3 linked regions of the Ovis aries genome follow. The protein of the gene in region 1 interacts with the protein of each later gene in a biochemical or structural test. Links are inferred from orthologs where the notes say so. Each region holds a gene or a part of one and is shown on either strand. Other genes may lie near its edges. The genes, in order: TNFRSF13B, TNFSF13 and TNFSF13B.

What was found.
Region 2: the proteins of TNFRSF13B (region 1) and TNFSF13 form a complex in vitro, tested with the Homo sapiens proteins (2 studies listed by BioGRID and IntAct). The link is inferred for Ovis aries from reciprocal best matches to the Homo sapiens genes TNFRSF13B and TNFSF13.
Region 3: the proteins of TNFRSF13B (region 1) and TNFSF13B form a complex in vitro, tested with the Homo sapiens proteins (3 studies listed by BioGRID and IntAct, with this or other methods). The link is inferred for Ovis aries from reciprocal best matches to the Homo sapiens genes TNFRSF13B and TNFSF13B.

What each region holds. Positions count from the first base shown.
Region 1 is NC_056064.1:34,839,266-34,846,865, forward strand, and holds the start of TNFRSF13B (tumor necrosis factor receptor superfamily member 13B), read left to right. Parts: upstream 1-2,650; 5' UTR 2,651-2,655; coding exon 2,656-2,707; intron 2,708-7,600. UniProt on the Homo sapiens protein: Receptor for TNFSF13/APRIL and TNFSF13B/TALL1/BAFF/BLYS that binds both ligands with similar high affinity. Mediates calcineurin-dependent activation of NF-AT, as well as activation of NF-kappa-B and AP-1.
Region 2 is NC_056064.1:27,107,012-27,114,780, forward strand, and holds TNFSF13 (tumor necrosis factor ligand superfamily member 13), read left to right. Parts: upstream 1-4,561; 5' UTR 4,562-4,847; coding exon 4,848-5,105; intron 5,106-5,297; coding exon 5,298-5,342; intron 5,343-5,460; coding exon 5,461-5,539; intron 5,540-5,674; coding exon 5,675-5,722; intron 5,723-5,865; coding exon 5,866-5,984; intron 5,985-6,195; coding exon 6,196-6,334; intron 6,335-6,578; coding exon 6,579-6,688; 3' UTR 6,689-6,702; exon of another isoform or gene 6,703-7,115; 3' UTR 7,116-7,444; downstream 7,445-7,769. Other genes in the region: TNFSF12 (tumor necrosis factor ligand superfamily member 12), read left to right, coding at 2,574-2,698, 2,893-3,144. UniProt on the Homo sapiens protein: Cytokine that binds to TNFRSF13B/TACI and to TNFRSF17/BCMA. Plays a role in the regulation of tumor cell growth. May be involved in monocyte/macrophage-mediated immunological processes.
Region 3 is NC_056063.1:83,015,038-83,022,739, reverse strand, and holds the start of TNFSF13B (tumor necrosis factor ligand superfamily member 13B), read right to left. Parts: upstream 4,517-7,702; 5' UTR 4,328-4,516; coding exon 4,010-4,327; intron 3,918-4,009; coding exon 3,827-3,917; intron 1-3,826. UniProt on the Homo sapiens protein: Cytokine that binds to TNFRSF13B/TACI and TNFRSF17/BCMA. TNFSF13/APRIL binds to the same 2 receptors. Together, they form a 2 ligands -2 receptors pathway involved in the stimulation of B- and T-cell function and the regulation of humoral immunity.

The sequences.
Region 1 (7,600 bases):
CATAGTGGAGTGGAACGAGCTCCAAACCCTGAGGTTACCCTGTCTTTGCTCCAGTTCTAGGACTCTCACATCCCCTTGATGGCGGAGCTTAAAATTAGAATGCCGAGTCTCCCCTGAGACACTGAGAAAGGGCTGCTTTCAGAATGAGAAGCAGAAATCTGGGCACCTGCTCTGAGGGCTCCTGGCACAAGGAGAGTCACACAGGGGTGCAGTTCCTGCTTGGGAGGTGACAGTCCCTGCTGGGGGGAGTCACTCAGGGGGGCAGTTCCCGGTGGGGGGGAAGTCACACAGGGGGGCAGTTCCTGCTAGGGGGGTAGTTCCTGCTGGGGAGGAGTCACACAGGGGGCAGTTCCTGCTTGGGAGGTGACAGTCCCTGCTGGGGGAGTCACTCAGGGGGGCAGTTCCTGGTGGGGGGAAGTCACACAGGGGGGCAGTTCCTGCTAGGGGGGTAGTTCCTGCTGGGGAGGACTCACACAGGGGGCAGTTCCTGCTGAGGGGGGCAGTTCCTGCTGGGCAGGAGTCACACAGGGGGCAGTTCCTACTGGGAGGGTGTAATTCCTGCTGGGGAGGACTCACACAGGGGGCAGTTCCTGCTGGGGGGGCAGTTCCTGCTGGGGAGGACTCACACAGGGGGCAGTTCCTGCTGGGGAGGACTCACACAGGGGGCAGTTCCTGCTGGGGAGGAGTCACACAGGGGGCAGTTCCTGCTGGGAGGGCAGTTCCTGCTGGGGGGAATCACACAGAGGGGTAGTCCCAGCTTGGGGGTGACAGTCTCCTCTGGGGGCAGTCACACAGTGGGGTAGTTCCTTCTGCGGGGGGCTGTGGTAGGGGAGGGGTCCCACGGGCTGCCGTCCTATGTGAGCTTCATGTTCATTGTTTGGGCAGAAGGAAATGAAGCTCCCTGAGATTCCCAAAGGCCCCCAGCTTGTTCTGTCTGGTGTAATAGAATCTAACCTTGAGCAAAGAGGCTGGAAGAAAGAAGTGGCGATCCTATTTGTAGGTTCCCTGCCCAGGAGCAGACATGATGAGTCTGTGGTAGCATCCGAATGCTGGCTATTCTGGGCGAGGGGGCTGCTGCCTGTGACGGGGAGGGAGGCCTTCTGGGGGCTGCAAACATTTCAGATCTGGATCTGGGGAGCATTCCCTGGGTTTGCCCCCTTGTAAGTAGTTGCTGGCCTGCCTGCTGAGAATACTGTATTTTACTGCGTGTAAATGACACCTCCAATTAAAGAAAAGAGAGTCAACAAAACTCATTGCTTGTAAACAGTGTTTGAACAAAAGCATTAACAAGCTGTGATCAGTAGTAACACTGGTGGTTGGGGTACCTGAGACTTCAGCTCTCATTGCCCAGAACCAGGGTGGATCTCGTTTTTCATTTCATGCATAACTTTGCTGATGTTAGAACTCCAAAGGATGAGACCGTGTGTGGCCATAGAGACAGCAGTCGGTGCAACGGGTCTGTTCCTGGAGGCACCATCTGCTCACTCCTGGGAGCCAGCTTCTCTGTGAGGTGGTGAGAGCCCCAGCCCTGGGGGTGCGCAAGTGGGTGAGGAGGCCTGCTTGTCTTTGTTTCACTGAAAGGTCTCTTACTGCAAGAATCAGGCTGCAAACAATTCTTTTTAACTCGACCATCAGTCTTAACAGTCTCCACAACCTCGGTACAGACTTGTCTCACTGTTTATGATGGCTGCGTTGCGTTCCAGGCTGTGCCTGTGAGCCTTGTGTGCTTGGCCATCGCTGCCTGGTGGGTACTGGCACTGTTTCCACAACAACCGTGCTCTGCTGGGCACGCTTTGTGGGTGCCTGTGGCCCCTGGAGAAGAGCTCCTGGTTCATGGGTCAGGCATAGGTTCTCCATGTTACCTGATGTGGACATCCACATCAGAGGTATCGGTGTTGCCATCCACACAGAGGTACCAACACACTTGCACGGGCCGGGGCTTGTGCCTCCCCAGATTTCCTCCACTCTCCATGTCAGCACACTTTAAGACTTTGTCATCTGGGGGGATGAAAAGTGACGCTGACAGGGCTGCAGTGCTCGTCCCAGACGCTGAGCCCTGAGAACCACCCTGAGGCCTGACGGTGCACTCAGCCCCTTCTCATCCCCACCTGTGACCTGTGAACCAGGGGCTGCCTTTACACCCACTTCACAGAAGGGGAAACGGAGGCACAGATAAGTTAAGTACTAAATTGCCACCATGGCTTCCTGCTGGGATGTGGCTGAGCCAAGACTCCAGCCCAGTCTGTTCGTCTCTAGTTCAGCCTCACGACTGCCTGGCTAGGAGTCAGGTCTGGGGTTGGGAAGCACAGAGAATCATAATTCACCTGGCCTGGGGGCAGTCAGGGATGACTTCCTGAAGGAGGTGGGCCTGAAGAAGGAAGAGGAGGAGATGACTGGGCAATGAAAGAGAACAGGGTTGCTGAGAAAGAGGGCTGGGCCACCTGCTGCAGCCTGGCATGTGCAGTGCACCCAGGGGCTCGGCAGAGAGCACTCAGGGCTCCTGGAGCGTCAGGCGAGTCCACCCCCTTGGCCGAGACAGACAGCGCAGGTGCGGCAGGAGGCAGCCGCTGATTTACATCCTATAGGTGGGGGGAAAACCCAGGAAGTGCAGCCGGGCACTAACCAAATCTGGGCTAAGAATAAACGTCCTGAGTAATGAGTGGCCTGGGCCGGAGAAGGCAAGGTGGCCGCAGCCAGGAGGAGCCGAGTAAGTAGCCGGGAAGGCGGTGCGGGGAGGGGAGGGGCATGAGGGGGTTTGGCTGGGGGCTCTGTGTGGCCTTGGGGGTGCAAAGGGAATGGCACCTATGGAAGATGGATGAGCTCGGGCCCCCCCGGGACTTCCTACCCTCCTGCACGTGGAGTGCCCAGAGACTGGGGGCCCAGGGTGGGGGCTGGCCTTGCTTTCCAGGGGAGCAGCCACGAGGCTGGAGGGTCAGCCACACGGGCACGAAGTCCCTCTACTGCCCAGGACCCAGAGCCGGGTGGGCCAGGACACTTTTAAGACATTCTATGTTGAAGTAGACACACGCAAAAGTAGGAGAGCTTAAGGAGCCTCCCACAGACATGACCCAGCGTGCGCTTTCCAGGACCCTTGGGCCCTGCCAGGGCCTTCAAAGGCCATCACAGTTTTGATCTGTAAATACCTCCGGATCTCTCTCTTAAAAACAAAACCCCAAAGGCCCTCACGCCAGGACGACTTCTGCAAAGAATGGTTCCTCGGTGTCACCAAGCGCCTGGGTTCACACTGCCTGGCTGTCTTGTGTCTTTTCCAGCTGGTTTGTTCAAGTCAGGACCCAGTCGCCATCCTTCTGGTTACACGTTTTAATCTAGAACATTCCCATCATGCCTCATGTTTTCCCTTGCTGCTTTTCTTTAATCAAAGAAACCAGATCATTTATCCTGTAGAATTGTTATCAGGGGAGGTTTTGAAGGTTTGTTCAAAGGCCAAAGCAGAAGGCAGCACCCAGGTCGGGCCAGGCTGTTCCATCCTCACACGCCATGCAGGGAGCACAGCCGTTCCGTGATTCTCTTTGTGGGGAGCAAACACATCCCAAGACGTGTCCCCAGCTACGGCTCGAATATACAAGACTCCTGGGATAGCTGGACCAGGCAGGGACCAGGGGTCGCTTTGACAGGGTGGACCCCTCAGGTCCACAAGTCAGGAGCCTGCCAGATCTGGGCCTGGCACTGCCAGAGCCTGCAGGAGCAGCAGAGTCGGGCCTGGCTTCCCTAGTCCACTGACCCGCTGTGTTGCTAATTATAAGTCCTTAGGAAAGCCTGTATATTTGCCTGGGAAAAAAACGTTCTAAATGATCTAACCCACCTGTTTGGTAGAAGTGGTAAAACCCCAAAGGACATTAAAGAAAGTAGAGATATTCTGCAGGATTAAGGGGTGGGACTTCCTAGGTGGTCCAGTGGTTAAGATTTCCCCTCCCAACTCAGGGGGTCGGGTTTGATGCCTGGTCGGGGGTTAGGATCTCACCCTGGAGGACCCCCTTCACCTCTCTGGGCTCCTCTTCCTCGGTTGTAAAACAAAGGTCTGCCTCTGCCCTATCAGATATCCCTGAGAAAATGCAGCCGGGCCCTGAACCCACCAGAGCCCCATCTGAAGGGCCACAGGCGAAGGCTCTGAGAAGGACTGCAGCTGGAAACAACAAAACTAAACTGACTTTCCTTAGCCCAGCATTTTTCAAACTAACTTGACCACAGGGGCCTTTCTTGGTCCAGTGCCTATGAGGCCAGGCGAGTGAGGGAGACTGCAGACAGCTGGGGAGCACAGGAGCCCAGGCCTGCAAGAGCCCTCCCTCCTTCCCTATCCTGCCAGCCAGGAACAATCTAGGGTGTCTCCTGCCCTTCTTTGGGGCTGAGGATGGTTCTGGAACCTTACGTAGGTCCCGGGGGTGGAGGAGGAGTGCGCAGGGACAGCGCCCTTTGGTCAGCTGGGCGGCTGTCATCTGGCCCAGTGGCTCAGAGCCTCTCAACCATGAGTGGGTCTAGGTGGCTCCCATCTACCTCTGTCCACCAGCCATCACCTCCCAGAGGGCTGGGGGGTGGCTGGTGTCCCCCTCCCTTCTCCCCAGATGAAGGAAGGACCATTAGGAGTCTCCCTTCAATTCTGTTTGGCCCTTTTGCTTTTTAACTAATGCATAATTGATTTACAATGTTTGTGTTAATTACTGCTGTATCGCAAAATGACTGTGGATATTACAAGGATACTGAATATAGTTCCCTATGCTATAGAGTAGGATCTTGTTGTTTATCTACTTTGTACAGAGTAGTGTGTATCTGCTAACCCCAAGCCCCTAGTTTAGGTCCTTTGCTTCATGAATAGATGCCAGTCCCAGGTTGGGAGCCCAGAAAGTATAAAAGGTACAGAACACAGCCTTCCTCTCCTCCAGGTCCTCCATCTGCCCAGTTTTCCTGTCTCCTGCAATAAACAGCTTTCTTAAGAGAATTTACATGACATAAAGTTCACCAGTTTAAAATCTACAACTCAGTGTTTTCAGTATATTTAGAGTTGTGCAACATCTCTACCATCTAATTTTAGAGCATTTTCATCACGCCACAGTCCTCCCCACCCCCAGCCCTAGGCTACCACTGTCTCTAAATTTGCCTATTTTGGATATTTTCTAAAAATGGAATGTGCTGTTTGATGACTGGCTTCTTCCACAAGCACAGTGATTTTGAGGTTCATCCATGTGGCAGGGTGTCAGTGCTTCACACCTTTTTATTGCCAAGTAACATTCCATTGTACGGGTGGGCCGCATCACTCATGACTCCTGGTAGCACTAGTGGTAAAGAATCTGCCTGCAACGCAGGAGATGCAATGGACACAGGGTTGATCCCTGGGTCAGGAAGATCCCCTGGAGGAGGACATGGCGACCCACATCAGTATTCTTGCCTGGAAAATTCCACGGACAGAGGAGCTTGATGGGCTACAGTCCATGGGGTTGTAAAGTGTCTGACATGACAGAGCACACACTCCTACATTACGATGGCAGTTCTGTGTTTAACATTCTGAGGAACTGCCAGACTGTCTTCCAAAGTGGCTGCACTGTTTTCAAGATCCTGCTGAACACACAAGAGTTCGTTCCTCCCTATCTTCCCTAACACTTGTCCGTACATTCATTTCCACCGTCCCAGCAGGTGGCTCAGCTCGGTTTTGGTTGTTTCCCTGATGACAAATGCTGTTCAGCATCTTCCCATGTGCTTATTAGCCATTCAGACAGCTTTTTGGGAAAATGTCTCGTTAACTCCCAAACCCATTTTTAAACTGGGTTATTTGTCTTTTCATTATTCAGTTGCAAAAGTTTTTGCCTATAATCTGGATACAAATCCCTTATCAGATACTCAATTTGCAAATATTTCCTCCAAGTCCGTGAACCATTTTTGATTTTCTTGATGGTGTTCTGTGAAACACAAAAGTTTAACATTTTTATTAAGCCTTATCTCTCAATCTTCTCTTTAACCATTTGTGCATCTGGTCTCACTGCCCAGCCCCAAAGCATGAAGACTTACTCCTGTTTTCTTCTAAAAGTTGTCTAGTTACATTTAGGTCTATGATCCACGGTGAGTTACTTTCTGGTGTGAGGCAGAGGTCCACATTCAGTCTTATGAAAGTGGCTATCCAGCTGTCTCAGCACTATGTGTTGAAAAGACTATACTTTCTCCTGTTGAATCTTCTTGTTACTCTTGTTGAAAACTAACTGACTGTAAATGCTCGGCTTTAGTTTGCGATTCTATTTCGTTGACCCATGTCTGTCCTTCTGCCAGCACCACACTGTCTTATTTACAGCTGGTTAGTAGTACATTTTAAAATTGGGAAGTGTGAGTCCTCTAAATTTGCTCTCTTTGAAGAGTGTTTCAGCTCTTTTGGGTCTCCTGCGTTTCCATATGATTTTAGGGGATCAGCTTGTCATATTTTGCAGAAAAGCTATCTGGGAATTCGACTGGGATTGCATTGAATCTGTAGAATAATTTCAAGAATATTGCTATCTTACCACTATTAAGCCTTTCCATCTATGCATGTGGGATATCTTTCCATTTAACTAGGTCTTCAGGAATGTTTTGTAGTTTTCAATGTACAAATTTTGCACTTCTTTCATTCAATGTATTCTTAACTATTTTACCTAAATCACTGTTTTTGGTTTCCTGTTTCCTTACAGTGTTTCTTTATGTACATACCCATAAATGTAGATTAGAACTTTCTCCCTTTTTTGCAAAAAGAAAGAGAAGAAGGGAGCCTATAAGCCATGCTGTTATGGAACTTGTTTTTTTTTTTTTTTTTCTCCACTTACTATATCTTAGAATTCTTTCCAGAGCAATAGAGAGAGAGCGTCCTCACTCCTCCTCTTCAGCAGCATCACAATCAGTGCCTCAGTGGATGCACCGTGCAGGAACAAGGACTGCTTCCCACTCCACCCGTCCTCCCTGAGGATGGCTCTGTGAGCATCTGCTCAGGACCCACTTATGCCCGGTACTATGGATGCCCACTATAGTGGGCTCAGAGACAGATGAGACAGTGTAAGGAGGCAGACGGCTACACCCCCGAATATCCAACTCAAAATAAGAAACATCAGCAGGCTGAGACATCTCTGGTGGTCCAGTGGCTAAGACTCTGCACTCCCAGTGCAGGGGGCCCAGGCTCCATCCCTTGCTAGGGAACTTGATCCCACACTCTGCAACTAACAGTCTGCATGCTAAGGATTCCAAGTGCCGCAATGACCGCAAATAAATAAATGTCAGAAACAAAGAAATGCCACCAGGTAGAGGGTGCTCAGACTACATGGCTATCCAGGAAGGCATACCTGAGACATCTTAGAGGCCTCAGGCCACATGGCAGCTGCAGGGACAAATGTCTTTGGGAAGTTACAGTGTTTCAGCCACAAGCTGAGGTTCTGGGGGAAGTTCTCAGGTCTGGGGCATGAGTTTGGTGATTATGAAATGATTATAATTAATCCATTATGTTTTTAAACCACTTTATCCAAATAATAACTACCACCTGGCAACTGTCTTGGGTCAACTCTGTGCATGTCACATGCATGTCCATAAGGACACCTCCTCTGCAAAGGAGCACACACAGTCCAGTTTACAGAATAGG
Region 2 (7,769 bases), about 7.7 Mb from region 1:
GAGGCAAGCATATAAATTTGTAAATTACAATGTGATATGACAAGAATAATAATGAAAGTAGCAAGAGACACATGGCCAGTACAGAGGAAGACAACTTTACAATGGAGTCAGGGACTCTTTCCCAAGGAGGCATGGGCTCTTACCCAAGTGTGAGTATAAGACGGACAGAGGGGCAGGGCCACTTGTACAAAAGCCCAGAATTTGCCAAGAGTCTGATGAGGCTGGAGGACGGGGAGCAAGCGGCTCGATGTGGTGGAGGAGACAGATCCAGACGAGCAGGATGGGGTGAGGCTGGAGAAGCATATGGAGCCAGGTCACAGTTGGAGTCTGGAGGTTCTTCTGAAGTCAAAGCAGAAGAGTCTCACGTCTGCATTTGAGAAACATCACTCTATGCCTCTGTGTAGTGTGGCGAGTAAACTGGAGCAGGCAGTTTACTCCCGGTGGAAACAGGGAGCCTAAAGAGGAAGGAGCCTGAACAGAGTCCCAGTGAGAAATGGCCGAGTCCACACACACAGGGGAGGGAGACAGCTACTTAGGTGGCAGGCTTGCTAGCAACTGGTGATCAGTGGATAAAGCTGGTGAAGGAGAGAGAGGCTTGGGTGCTTGATAAGAGGTAGAACCAGGAGCCCAATGTGGAATGCAGTCAAGCAAATTTGGGGTTGGGGGGCAGGCTCAGTTTTGGTCTAGGTGAGTTTGCAGTGGGGAGCATGGGGAGGTTACTCTAATGGCAGGCAGGTAGCAGTGTCAGGCAGGGCAGGCACGGGCAGAGCTGGAGACTCAGATTGGAGTCTTGTGAAATAAAAGCCAAGGCAACCCATAGGTAGGGATGAAAATGCCCTGTGAGCATTATGTTCCTGAGAAAGGAACCAGGAGAGCGCCCCGGGGCAGGCAGAAGATGGGGGTGCCGGGAAGGAAGCTTCCCAGGCTACCGAGATGAGGTGCCGGAAGCCCCGGAGAGCAGCCTGTGGACCCAAACAAGAGACAGATGCCCCTACAGCCTCTTCCTCCTCTGTTTTCTTCCCACCAGCATGTGCTTGGTGTCTGCTCAGAGCAGGCCCAGCTGCAGGGCCTGAGGTGCAGTAACCAGACCAGTTCCCCTGCTCCTTGGGGGAGGCAGACCCCAAACTATCACAGAAGGAAATAAAGATGATTTCTGTCCTTGGGGACTGCTATGAGAGAGATGCGGTGAGTGGAGAGTTTAACGGAGACTAGCTATTAATATTTCAGACTGGGAGGCCTGGGGAGGTCACTCAGAGCGACCAGACTGACTAAAGGGAGGGAGGAATCCTAGGGGGAGGGAAGAGCAGTAAAAACCCTGTGGAAACAGTGAGCTTGGTGCCTGGCAGGAACAGAAAGTGGGCCTGAGGGCCTGGAGTCTTGTGACTTGGAGGAATGTGTGAGATTAGATCTGAGAGGTAAACAGGGGTGGCTCATGGAGGGCTGGGAAGTCACTTGAGACCCTGCTTTGTCATTTGATTCTTTGTCTTCTTTACAACTTGCAATTACCTTTACTCTAGTTTTGTTGTTGTTAATGGCTTTATTGAGATATAATTCACATACTATACGATTCACCTTTTTAAAATGTACAGTTAAGCTTTTAGTATAGTCACAGAATTGTATGACCATCACTACAGTAATTTTAGAGAGTTTTCATGACCTCAAAAAGAAACCCTGTACGCTTCACCCACCACACTGTATTTCCCTGATCTCCTCCAGCCCTAAGCAACTGCTAATCTACTTTTTGTCTCTATGTATTTGTTTATTTGGAAATTTCATGTGCATGCGTGTTCAGGCACTTAGTCATGTCTGACTCCCTGCGACCCCATGGACTGCAGCCCTCCAGGCTCCTCTGTCCATGAGATTCTCCAGGCAAGAATACTGGAGTGGGTTGCCATTTCCAACTCCAGGGGATCTTCCAGACCCAGGGATCGAACCCCCATCTCTTGAGTCTCCTTCACGGGCATGCACATTCTTTACCATTGTGCCACCTGGATATTCATAGAACATGTGATCCTTTGTGACTAGCTTCTTTCACTTAGCATAGCGTTTTCTTGTTTCCTCCACATTGTAGCCTGCATTAGTACTCCATTTCTTTTTATCCCATTGTATGGACTTAACACGATTTTCCTTATCCATTCATTAATGGATGGAGGTTTGGGTACCATTTTATTAGTTTTTTTTTTTTTAATCTTTTTCCCTTTTGATTATCTTTAATTTTAATAACCCAAGGAATATATGATTCAAGTAAAGCATCCATACCTTCTCCAAGTAAAAGAGCAAATGGTGCAGACACAACCTATAAAAGCCCCCATGCTTCTTGAGTCCTACTCCTCTCTCCAGAAGCAGCTGGTGAGAACTTGCTGTCTATCATTCTAGTCCTCTATGTCGGGTTTCTTCCCCTAACTTCCTATCACACTCCCAGCTCCTTAGGCCGCGGCTCTTCCCTTCCCCTGGGCCTCCTAGATATCTTCTGGGTAAAGTGGGCCCAGAGGTTTATAAACTCAGTGTCTCATCAGCCAGTGTGAGAAAGTTCTCTAGAGGGATTTCCCCTGTCTCTGAACACCCACATTCAGGTGTGGACGGGACGGTGAGTGGCTGGGAGGAGGCCAAAATCAACAGCTCCAACCCCCTGCGCTATGACTGCCAGACCGGGCAATTTATGGTCACCCGGGCTGGGCTGTACTACCTGTACTGTCAGGTAAGCCCCACCTGGCTCCACGGGTAAAGCCGGAACTGAAGGAGAAGGGTTGGGCTTCGGGGTTGGGGGCAAGTTAAAGGTGGGGAGGGGGAGCGTGGGGTTTGGGCTGAGAGGAGCCTTGGGCCTCTCAGGACACCTGAGATGAAGCCGAGGGCCAGCAGACCCTGAACTCTGCCCCTCCCCTGCCTCCCCAGGTGCACTTTGATGAGGGGAAGGCTGTCTACCTGAAGCTGGACTTGCTGGTGGATGACACGCTGGCCCTGCGCTGCCTGGAGGAATTCTCGGCCACTGCGGCCAGTTCCCCTGGGCCCCAGCTCCGTCTCTGCCAGGTGTCAGGGCTCTTGCGCCTGCGGCGAGGGTCCTCCCTGCGGATCCGCACCCTCCCCCAGACCCAACTCAAGGCTGCCCCCTTCCTCACCTACTTTGGACTCTTCCAAGTTCACTGAAGGGCCCCGGTTTCCAGGTGGCTTGTCCCCACGGCCGCTCTCTGAGCACCCCTGTCCCCTCTGTCCCACCCTGAGCTGCTCCTCCCCCAGACCTGCCTCTACCCCCGGAAGGCTGCCAGGGCTCACGTGATGTCCGTGCCACTCAAATATTCCCAGCCTCGCTGACAGCTCTCCCCACCTCCAGCTCTCCACCTCACTAGCTCCCCAGCCCCATTTATCTCCTGACTCCCCAACCCTGGCTGCAGCCCCCCAGGACACTGTGTTTACTGTACTCTGGGTGATGATGGGTCGTGCATACCCCCTCTTCAGCCACTAAGAGGGGCCAGATGCCAGAGAGACTGGGACTAGGCCAGGAGTTCCCGAATGTGAGGGGTCAGAGACCAGGACAGGCTCCTCCCCTGATAATTCCCTGTGGATTTTTAAAACAGATATTATTTTTATTATTATTGGGACTAAATGTTGATAAGTGGATATTAAAGAGAATATGTCATGGTTGCTGTCTTTATTGGGGCTTAGGGGATATCCTCAGGGTAGCTGAGGGCCAATGGAAGGTGGGGGTCTGGGAGGTGGGGGGTGGGGGAAGACGGTCACCTGGAATTCCAGGACGACATCCAGGCTTGGGCATGGAGACCTACGTGCCTTGAAACCCCAGGCAGGAGAAGAGAATCAAAAGGCAAACTGCCAGGGGAAAAAAAAATCAATTCTCTGCCCAAGGTCCAGCAGAAGTGGCCTGATTTACCTAGGAGGCGGGCTTCCTCCTGTGGGGAATCCCTGGGCTGGGAGGGCAGCGGCCCTTCCTGTTGGCAGCCTGGGCACCTGCAGCAGGTGCTGGCACCAGTCTGAGCTGGTATTTGGCGCAGGGAGGGGGGAAGCGGGGGGTGGGCAGGGAAGCAGGCGCGACGTGGGGGCTCAGGGTCAGGAAGTGGGACACTAGGGCCCAGGGACACGGGAAGCTGCGCCCCAGGGTCCAGGCAGGAGTCCTACAGTGGTGGGGCGCTCTGGCTGTCTCTTTCTCATTTGTCCAGAGCCTTATGTAAGAGCGTTTCTGGGGAAACAGGAAGTCCCGCTTGCCAAGTTCAGCAGAGAGTAGTGCAGGCCTTCTTCCAACACACCCGGCCTGGCCTTAACCCCGGAACTCAGCCAGTTCCTTGCTTCCCCGACCCTGGTTCTCCTCCCCACTAACCCCCTCTCCTCCCCTCCTCGCCCACCTTCAGTCACGGTGAGCGGACTGCCCCGGAAATCTCACCTGTGCCAAGGCGCGAGGGTCTTCCACTCTCCACCCTTGACCCTCGGTGCTGCCCAGCATGTCTCTCCATCCCGGCTCCTGGCACCATGCCCCAGAGCCAGCCAACCTTCCCTCCCCCACTTCTGGGGCCGCCCCGGGGTTCCTGCGCTCTGGCCGCTCCTCCTGGGTGTCACTGGGAGCCCTGTCCTTCCTAGAGAGACTAACACCAAATTCTCCTGAGGCTGGAGGAGGTGAGGGGTCTCGGGATAGTGCTGGCCCCGCAGCAGGGTGCCAAGAGCACCAGCAGTGCCCCAGCTTGCTTCCCGCCTCCCTTCTTTTTATTCTCAAGTTCCTTTTTATTCCTCCCTTGCGTAACGCCCTTCTTCCCTTCTGCACCACTGCCTGCACCCCCACCCTCCCCGTCACCTCCTTGCCATCCCACTCCTGAGACCACAGCTGTTGGCAGGGTCCCCAGCTCATGCCTGCCTCATCTCCTTCCTTCCTAAGCCCCAAAGGGCCCCAGGAAGACATGGGGGGACCCGTCCGAGAGCCAGCACTCTCAGTTGCCCTCTGGTTGAGTTGGGGGGCGGCTCTGGGGGCTGTGGCTTGTGCCATGGTTCTGCTGACCCAACAAACCGAGCTGCAGACCTTAAGGAGAGAGGTGACCCGGCTGCAGAGGAACGGAGGGCCCTCCGAGAAGCGGGAAGGGAATCCATGGCTGAATCTCCAGGAGCAGGTGAGTGAGGGGAGAAGCATGTCTGGCAGAAAAGGATGCGTGGCAGGGTGGTCTCTGGGTTTCTCAGTTCTAGCAGCTTGGTCGGCAAAGTTTGGAATGGGTGCAAGAGAGGGTCCCAGGGTTTGGAGGTCAAGGGAGCAAGCATTCCAGGAAAGGAAATTGTTAAAGATTAATGCTTTTCATACCTAACAGATTCTGGAGGAGAGCCAGTACCCAGACTCAGGTTGCTGGGGAAAGGTGCAGGAGAGATGTGAGGCATTCCTGGGGCAGGTGGGAGGTGGGGGGTGGGGGTGGGGAAAGGCTTTCCTGGGACCCTTGCATCTTAGCCTAACCCTGACCCTCTTTCCACAAGCAGAGCCCTGATGGCACAGAAGGCTGGGAGAATGGGGAGAGATCCCGGAGAAGGAGAGCAGTGCTCACCCGTAAACAGAAGAGTGAGGCCTCCGGGGTGCAGCAGGGGTGGGAGGTGATCCACAGCAGGGGGATCTGGAGACTGCAACCCTGAGCCAGGGCGAGGGTGGAGGGCTGACAGTCGTGCAACTGCTGAGATCTCCTCCCTCTTTCCCCAGAGAAGCGCTCAGTTCTGCATCTTGTTCCCATTAACATCACCTCCAAGGGTGAGCACTATTTCCAATCATGGCTTTGGGGTCGGGGGCAAGATCTAGGAAGTGTGGGACTGGCACATCAGCCAAAGAGAACCTTAGAGAATAAGTGTCTGAGTGTGCACAGAAATCCTCACTGCCACATTCTTTGCCTCCAGAGGACTCTGATGTGACAGAGGTGATGTGGCAACCAGCTCTCCAGCGTGGGCGAGGCTTGGAGGCCCAAGGATATGTTGTTCGAGTCTGGGATGCTGGAGTTTATCTGCTGTACAGCCAGGTAACCCCAAATATCCTCTGAGCCTCACCTGAGGGCCTGGAGGTCTGTTTTCCCAAAGCCTTGTGCCCCAGCACTGAGGTTTAACCCCTATCCATACCCCACTTAGAGGGCCCTTCTTCATTCCTTGGCTCCTTTGTCAGGGCTCCTGAGGCTGCCCGGACCCGAGCCATGCCAGCCCACTTTATTCAGCATCCCCTCCCTTCCCTGTCAGGTCCTGTTTCATGATGAGACTTTCACCATGGGTCAGATGGTATCTCGGGAGGGACAAGGAAGGCAAGAGACTCTATTCCGATGCATACAAAGCATGCCCTCCAACCCTGACTGGGCCTACAACAGCTGCTACAGTGCAGGTGAGAGGTGGGTGGGCGGTGCAGGGTGGTTATGAGGGGAGCAGATGCCTGACCTGGGGCAACAAGTAGGGGAGCTATGGCAGGGGCTTGGAAGCTGGGGTGTAGAGGCGGAGGTGAGGAATGGACAGAATGTGGTAGTCCTTACAGGAGACAAACATAACGTTGAGCTGGATAAGGGAGGGGAAACATCAGATTATCTGTATGGCTGTGCTTCACTGAGCATCTGTTTTCTCCCCTTTCTCAGGTGTCTTCCATTTACACCACGGGGATATCTTGAGTGTTATAATCCCTCGGGCAAGGGCCAAACTTAGCCTCTCTCCACATGGAACCTTCCTGGGGCTTGTGAAACTGTGACTGTGTTGTAAAAGGTAGTTCTGAGCTTGGAAGACCAGGGTGGGTACACTTTGGAGACGGCCAAGAGCTGATTAGACAAAGGACAGGGAATAGTCAGGAACAGAGGCCTGCCTCTGCCCCCAGGTTTGACAGCTCATGACTCTCCCTTGTTCCCACCCTCACCCCCAGGACTTTGAATTCACGGATATTAAAGAGGTAGAATAGCTTCTTCTTATTCTCCAGCCCCAAATTCTTGAGGGAGTCGGGTAGGGTTGGGGGTGGGAAATGCCAGGCTTTGTCTAGACTTCCTTTGGGTCCCACTGGAATGCTTCCAGAACAGCACCACCATCTAGCGGCGGTTTGAGACAACCATCCTCTCGGTTGGCAAATGTCCACGAGTTCTTCCTCCGCTCAAACTCCTGGTGCTTTACACCACACCTCTCTTTAGGTACCCTCTGCCTCTCCACCTACAAGAAACCCCATCCTCACTTCGCTCTCTATCTACTGGACTCCAGTTTCCATCACTATCTCCAGAGGTGTTAATTGTTAGGCGCCGGTCTGCAGAGGGTGCCTGATGCCGACGGCCCCCTTTCAACCACACCATTACTCTTCAGGTCCCAAGTTTTGCTTTCACTCTGTCCACTATCGTGGCCCGGCAGGCCGGGTCGCCTTGGCTAAATCATACGCCCCAGTCCTGATCCTGACTCACTCCTCTGATCTCTCCTTTCTGCGCAAGCCCTGCCCAAAATTTAAAAATAAAGAATAAATAAGACCTTGGATCCATTTCCCCCACTGCTGTGCCTCAGCCCCGTCCACGCACCTCCCAGCCCACGGACCTCCCAGCCCTCTTCCGACGCGCTTCACTGCACCCACGTGTCAGGGCCCCCAGTTCAGCCTCCGGGGTGCCTGGAACACCAGGCTACACCGCGCGGGGGCGGAGGGCGGAGGATCGGCACGGGACACGCAGGCGCAAAAGAACTAATGGAAGGGCTGCCAGGAGCAGCTCGGGTTCAGGGGGTGTGCGCAGGCGCAGCCCTGACTGGAGCTCGTGGGCGGGGCGGTCCCGTGGCGTCTGCGCTCTCGGGTAGGCGGGGCTAGGCGC
Region 3 (7,702 bases), on another chromosome or scaffold:
AAAGAACTAGGCTTGCTGTGTTCTGGAGAGGTCAGACTTTCTAGCCCACAACATACTGGAATTTACTTACAAACTGAATATATACCAAATAAAATTGAGATGCCTGCTGAAATCTGGGTTGGATTTATAGGAAAATAAGAATGGGTAACATTCTGGTATATTACTTAACCATACTTAGCTGTGAAACTTCTGAGCATGGTTATAAAATGATGACAAAACTGACGTGAGAAAGCAGAATATTCTAGGAAAAATCTAGAAGAATATTATAATTCTGTTAGTTATAAATCCACTAAGTGCCCTGGTGTGGCTTAAAAATAAGTGTGAGGTCAAATACTATACATCATTTACTTGCAAACTGTATTTTTTAAAACAGTTTAACAAGCAATTTGAAAATGCCAAGGCTCCAAAGTAACAGTAACATTTTTAAATTAATCATGAAAAATAGTGAAACCTATATAAGGAAAACTGCCTTATTGTGGAATTTAAACTTCTATATTTAACATAGGTATTAAAAATTCTTGAATAGATAAATTCAAAATGTGAAAATTCATTTTTCCTCAGTTACAGGCTTTATAAAATTCCAATTAAATGTATCTAAACATATATAGATAACTAATATAAACTAAAAGGGATAACCTAAGGCTTTTGAGCTTTACTTAAAATAAGTCACAACTAGAATGGAATCAAGAACCAAAGAAAGTTCCATAGATTCAAACTGCATAGAACCTCCTCAATTGCCAAACCTCCTCAATTCCTTACCAAACGGAAAACAAAGGAAAATCATGTAGCTTCATACAAGCTTCTTGGTATATACATAAACAAATTTTAAAGTAGTGCTAAGCAAAATGGACATTTTCTCTGCTTGAAAGGATGGAACATTCAAGTCAATTTTACTGACAAGACTTGCTGATAATAACTGTCATTGAGTTTCTCATCTTTAAATTTTTCCTCTGGGATCTATGAATGCTATAAGTATATGTAGAGAGAAACATAGAGATATATATGTAACTAAGTACTGCATATGTAACTAAATATACAATGTATATTCTCTACATATATATGCAGTTTGTACTGTATATATACACGATATACATACATAAATATAATATATATACCATATATACGCTACATTAAAGTTCTATAAAAATCTGAGATAAACCAGGATATTGATAATAGTGATTACATCTGTGCTATGGAAACTGGGTGGATTCTTATTCATTGGTTAGAATTTTCAGTTATTCTCCAAATTGTCTAAACATTGAAAGTTATTTGGGGAAGAATTTCTGTGAGTATATCCTTTTTGGATGCCTTAGACACACAAATGTGAGAAATCATTCACATGGGATGAAATTTTAAAATATTAATATATTAATAGAACATATTTTGGGGAAGTGGGACTTAGGGAGTTATTCATTTCTTACTCAGTTTTTTCCTTCTTAAATCTGCTGTAATGGGTCTATATCCTCTTGGAATAGGCGAGCTAGGGTTTATTTTTAATAATAAATTTATAGGCAAGAGTACTAGCAGACAAGGTTGAAGGAGAATGAGGCATTCTCACCCTACTAGATATTGAAGCTCACTTTATTACAAAATTCCTTAAAACATTTAATGCAGATAAATCGGATAATAAATCAATGAAAAAAAGCAGTCTCAAAATAGATTCAACTATATATGAGGAACTCAATACAATATAGTAAATGTTTCAACGCAAATGAACTAAAAAGAATCGTCTAATTAATTTGGTTTAGATATTTAGCAACACTTTGGAAGGAAAAAGTAAGAGAAGAAAGGAGAAGTTAAGGCTAGTATAACATGATTCTCCACAATAAACTCCAGGACTAACGGATTTAATACCAAACTACAACACTAAATTACTAGAAAAAAAGTCAAAATAGCAGAAAAAATAGCAAACTGCTTTAAGAGATTATGGATAAATATGTATTTTAACTTTGGTATCTTACAGAAAATTTTTAAAAAGGCTATCACATTAAAATATACAGATGTAAGATGTCTGTACAAGTTCTAAAAAGCAGCAAAATATTGTGAAAACATTTACATCAAAATTTTGATAAACAAGATGCCTAACACAGAGCTTATTCAAAATTATTTTAAAAATAGGACAGATGAGTGAGGGAAGTTATAAAAATTAGTAGAGGATAAAATTAGAAGCTACCAAAACATGCAAAAAGAAGATAATTCTTATTTGTAAGCAAGCCACAAATTAAATTTGAGGCACTATTTTTCACCTACTGAGCTGGGCAAAATATGTCTTTAAAGGTAAAGCGTGTAAGGCTGTGAAGCACTTGCACACTGCATCTCTGCTGCATCCATTCATAGTCCATCTGGATGCTGCAGCAGGCAGCGAGGGCGACGAAGATGCCCATCCTCTGTGGCTCAGACATTCTATCTACGGAATTCACATTGAGTGTATGCATAGAATTCCTCAGAAACAAAGAGATTTGCGCAAAAATTTTGACATGTTCCATTCTACCAAAAAAAAATGGAAATGATCATAATTATAAGACAACAAATAAAATCAGTATATGTGAGAATTACTTAGAAATAAGGAAAAAGTTTATTGTGCAATAAGTCAACACAAAAATATGCCACAGTATATGTGCCGTATTTCTTCAATTATGCAGAAAATATGGATGACAAAATGCAAAATATGAAAATTAGGATGTTATAGTAAAAATATGAGCATTTTCCAGTTTTAAAATGTATAAACCCAGTTGTTTCTGACAACTGGCATGGGGGTATGATAAGCAGATACAAAATGTATTGCCGTATAAAACTAGGGAGGAATTTTTTCCATGAATAAGGCATTTAGTGAAAAATAAGTTTACAGAAGGAGCATCGTGTGTGTGTGTGTGTGTGTGTGTGAGAGAGAGAGAGAGACAGACAGACAGACAGAACACCTAACCTATCTCTCAAGCACTCTCCTTCAAAGTGCAAATACAGGTAAATAATTACACCTCATCAGTTTGCCTCATAGTCAGCACTAAGGTTAAAGGAAACAGACACGACAACACCTCTCCCCCATACAAGCCTGCCTGGCACATTCTAGGGGTTCAAAAAATGCTCCTGTAATATAAACGGGAAACAGCACCAAGGGTTTATTAAATTGCAATATTAGTAATGCAATGCAAATTCTCTTTTCCATCCTTGACATGGAGGATGGAAGGAACTGAGGCTGAAAGTTTGGGGTGTCCCCCCTCCCAAATCTGAGATGTCTCTGGAGCAGGTAGAAATCACTGAAGAACTATTACAGATTATAAACCTGCGGAGCTCCTGGAAGAGCATTATAATAAGGACAAGCTTTAAAATCTCTGTGCCCCAGTGTGTAAAATAGGCTTCTTTTTGAAAAGGGAAGAAATCGCATAGAGCACCAACGTGCACCTGCCTGGTCTCCACGTGGTTTCGCAGCAGCTACGCCCCTCGGAGATGCGGTCTGCCCCTCGTCTGGACCAAACCTCATTCCAGACTAGCTCCTGGCGCTTCCCCCCCGCCCCCGCCCGGGGACTGCCAGACGGTGCTCCCGACGTGGGCGCGAGCTCTCTCTTTGAGCGGAGAGGTGAGCCCCTCTCCCCTCTTCTGTGCTCTAAGCGCCGCGGCACGGACGGATGCCCCCAAAAGGTGCTGCCACACGCGGTCAGCCCAGGACACTGGCCAGGGCTTGGCTCCGCCCTGGGGGGCACACGGGCTTGGGATGCCTTTTCCAGCCTCCGGCTTCTGTTCGGCGTCCCTCTCCCAGGCAGGATGCTCTCCTCCTCACCTGAGCCCTGGAGCCCGGACCCCTGGGCGCTTCTGTTCCCCGCACACGTACCTGTTTCTTCGGCCTCCTGCAGGGCACGCTTACTCCTGCCGCTCTGGCTGGAATTGCTTTCTCCCGGAGCTGGGGGTGCAAAGATCCGCTGCTAAGAGAAAAGCCCCACCACGTTACTGCCGGGGCGTCGGGGTCTGGGGCGGGGGCGGCGGCGGGGGGCTGCGGCTACTGCGGCACACTCACTTTCAGGGCGGGGGTGACGCCGGGAGCCTCCCGCGGGGCCGCGGCTCCGGCCTGGGGGGCGCCCGGCCGCCCCCGCAGCTCCGCCCGGAGGCTGCCCAGCTCCGCTTGCAGGGACGCCACCCAGCAGAAAGCCAGCACCGTGAGGCAGCTGGACGAGGCGGCGAGCAGCAGGGTCACGGCCAGCAGCTTTCCATCTTTGGAGCACCGGCCGGAGGGGCTTTCCTCCTGGGGCAGGACGGAGCCTCCCTCCTTCAGTTTCATTTCTTCTCTGGTCTGAGGGCAAGAAAGGCGGGACTGCTCCCCGGTGGAGTCATCCATTTCCCTCCTTGAACTTTGCAGGTTGGGGCCCCTAGCCTGAGTGACCACAGAGAATGGATCATTTCCTGTTATCTGGGTTTGTAGATGTCCCACTTTGACTACACGGCCCAGCCCGGCGGCGCTCGCCCTGGGGCGAGTTCTCCTGAATTTTCTCCTCTCTGTCGCGGCTGCATCTCTTGCCCCAACTGTAGGCTAGGTCTTCCTGGCATTCACCCTTCTATCCGATTGCTCAATCGGTCTTCCTCATTTCACTTTCAGTTTTTGTAAGAATTTTAATGGCATCTCAGAACACTCATGCACAGACCCGGGTGGGGCGGGGGCGGCCTGAAGATCTACTGATGGGGAGGGAACTGGCAGTTCGGACCAGCACTCTCTGGGGAGCTTTTAAGACAGGAAAGTGTTTGAAGAGCTGCCCCTCAGGCATTAGGAGAGGACTGGGTCCACTTGGGGCCACGTGGCTTTGTAGGGAAGCGGGAAAGAACAGGAATAAACTCCTGCTAAATGTGATCAAGATAATCCATGTGAAGGTCAGATAAGCTAAGTGCTTCAGCAGTGAACCGGGCACCCCTGGAGAGTGATTTACGAACAGTCTTTAAGTAGGAAATAAAATGAAGTGTCCTCAAAGGAGGCGCAGAGGTCCGCTGGAAGGCACTCTGCTCCATTATCGTCTTGGTGATGTGATAAAAAGAATGTTCTTGCATTCTGGAGAACTGTTTAGATCAGCTTCGCGGGGGGGGGGGGGGGGGGGGGGGGGGGGGTGGGTGGGAGGTGGAGGGTTGGGGGGGGGGGTAGCTTTTATACGTGGGTGGGTGCAGTTTCCAAGAGAAATCTGAGGTCTTCCTCCAGGGACTCTGGGATCCTGGGAGGCTGGGAGTCAGCCATTCAGGGGCGGGCCAGGCTCCAGGACCCTCCCACCTCTGCGGTCCCCACTTCTGGAGCTGCAAGTCCCCAGCACACTGGTTGGGAAAGAAGCGACCTTCTCTGGCTCTTGGTGTCCCCGGAACCCTCATTAACTGCTCTCTTCCTAGAGCAGCTTATCTGCTCTTCCCCATTAGGCCCACTCGAGCCAGTCGAACATATGACCCAACCTGGGTGGATGCGGCTCCACCCAGAGGGGCTTGGCCTTCAAGTCTCCCTTGTTGGACATGGTGTGGCCTGTGAGTCAGTGTCCTCTCTGGGTGGGTGATAACTGTCCCTGAGAATCCTGACAAGACTCCCGGGAATGTGGAGCAAGCTGCCCTGAAGATGCTTCCATTTCCATTCATCCCATTCATTCATTATGTGGAATCTATTCATTCATTTTATGAACAGAATGTTTCACTTATTCAATTGTAATATGTTCATTATTGCCGCAATGGACGTCTTTGCAAGGGCTTCGCGGGCACCCACCTGCTGGAGAAAAGGCCTGTGCTCACCTTGACCAGGTGTCTCCGAGTTACCTGCCAGGACTGCATGCTTCCTCCGTGTCTCACTAAGTGTCATGTCATCAGCCTTATTCATTTTTATCTATTGGGATTGTTTTTTTTTTTTTTTCCCCTTTGCACCTGCAAGCTCCAAGACCTTTAAAAATGACTTTTAAAAATATTTTTCTGTTTAAAAAAATGAAAAAGTGTTTCAGTGATTCCCTTGGTCCCATTTCGCTGGTGGGAGTCGTCATCTGTCAGTGGGTGTGCAGAATCTTTTGTGGAACACAAGCTTCCTGACAGTGCTTGTTTCCAGTCAATCAGGACAAAACACACCAGGTAACAGTTCAGTTTTTCAGTTCAGTTCAGTCACTCAGTCATGTCCGACTCTTTGCGACCCTATGGACTGCAGCATGCCAGGCCTCCCTGTCCATCACCAACTCCCGGAGTCCACCCAGACCCACGTGCATCAAGTCGGTGATGCCATCCAGTCATCTCATCCTCTGTCGTCCCCTTCTCCTCCTGCCCCCAACTCCTCCCAGCATCAGAGTCTTTTCTAATGAGTCAACTCTTCGCATGAGGTGGCAAAAGTATTGGAGTTTCAGCTTCAGCATCAGTCCTTCCAATGAACACCCAGGGCTGATCTCCCTTAGGATGGACTGGTTGGATCTCCTTGCAGTCCAAGGGACTCTCAAGAGTCTTCTCCAACACCACAGTTCAAAAGCATCAATTCTTTGGCACTCAGCTTTCTTCACAGTCCAACTCTCACATCCATACATGACCACTGGAAAAACCATAGCCTTGACTAGATGGACCTTTGTTCAGTTTTTCAAAAGAGGATTAGTTTGGGGATTACTTTCTGACTGAAAGTAATTGGAACTCACCCAGATTATATGGGTGTGTATTCCCAGGTGGTGCTAGTGGTCAAGAACTCGCCTGGGTTGGGAGGATCCCCTGGAGAAGGACATGGACAGAGGAGCCTAGCAGGCTACTGTCTATAGGGTCTCAAAGAGTCGGACACGACTGAAGCAACTTACCACACATTCATAATACCTAAGCACATAGAAAAACAAAAGAATTGAAGGCAGTGCTGGAAGCCGAGTTCTCTCTTTTTCACCCTGGACACCCGCAGTGTCTTTCTGTGGGTGGGCATCCTTCCCGTTCTGACAGGCCACTTCTCTCTGTGTTCTGCAGTAAAAGTTCAGAAAAGAAAGGGAAGACTTTCCTATGAGAAGTTAGCTTTGCCTTCAGCTGCTCTTCGGAAAGAGAACCATGAGCGGTCTGCCTGCATCCCAGGCGGTCCTGGACCACCAGTGGGCGGCCCCAGCGAGAGCTCCTCCCTCCAAAGGCAGAAGGGGGAGGGCCCTGCCCGGGACACGGGCAGGTGAGGTCCCCACGCCCATGGCACAATTCGGTTTCTCAGAAAACAGGTAGAAAAGGAAGCTGGCGTTCGTGTGCTCTCGAATTTCTTACTAGAGGAGCAAAAGGAAGCTATTACTCCATCAGTCTAGGACGTGTTTCCTGCAGAGGAAAGGGTGTGGCAGTAAATTAACCGAAAATCTGCCCAACAGATTGTAGTCATTGACTCGCTGGTCACAGTCACGCTGGTTCAGGGCTGGGGCTGAGCCAAGACTTCTCTGCCGTGATTCAATTCCTTTCACCCACTTCTTTTCCTCTTGCCTGGAAAATCCCATGGACGGAGGAGCCTGGTGGGCTGCAGTCCATGGGGTCGCAAAGAGTTGGACACGACTGAGTGACTTCACTTTGACTTTTCACTTTCATGCATTGGAGAAGGAAATGGCAACCCACTCCAGTGTTCTTGCCCAGAGAATCCCAGGGACAGGGGAGCCTGGTGGGCTGCCATCTATGGGGTCGCAAGAGTCGGACACGACTGAAGCGACTTAGCAGCAGCAGCGGCAGCTTTTCCTCAACTGGAGTGTCCAGCATTCTCGTGCAACAGAGCTAAGACACA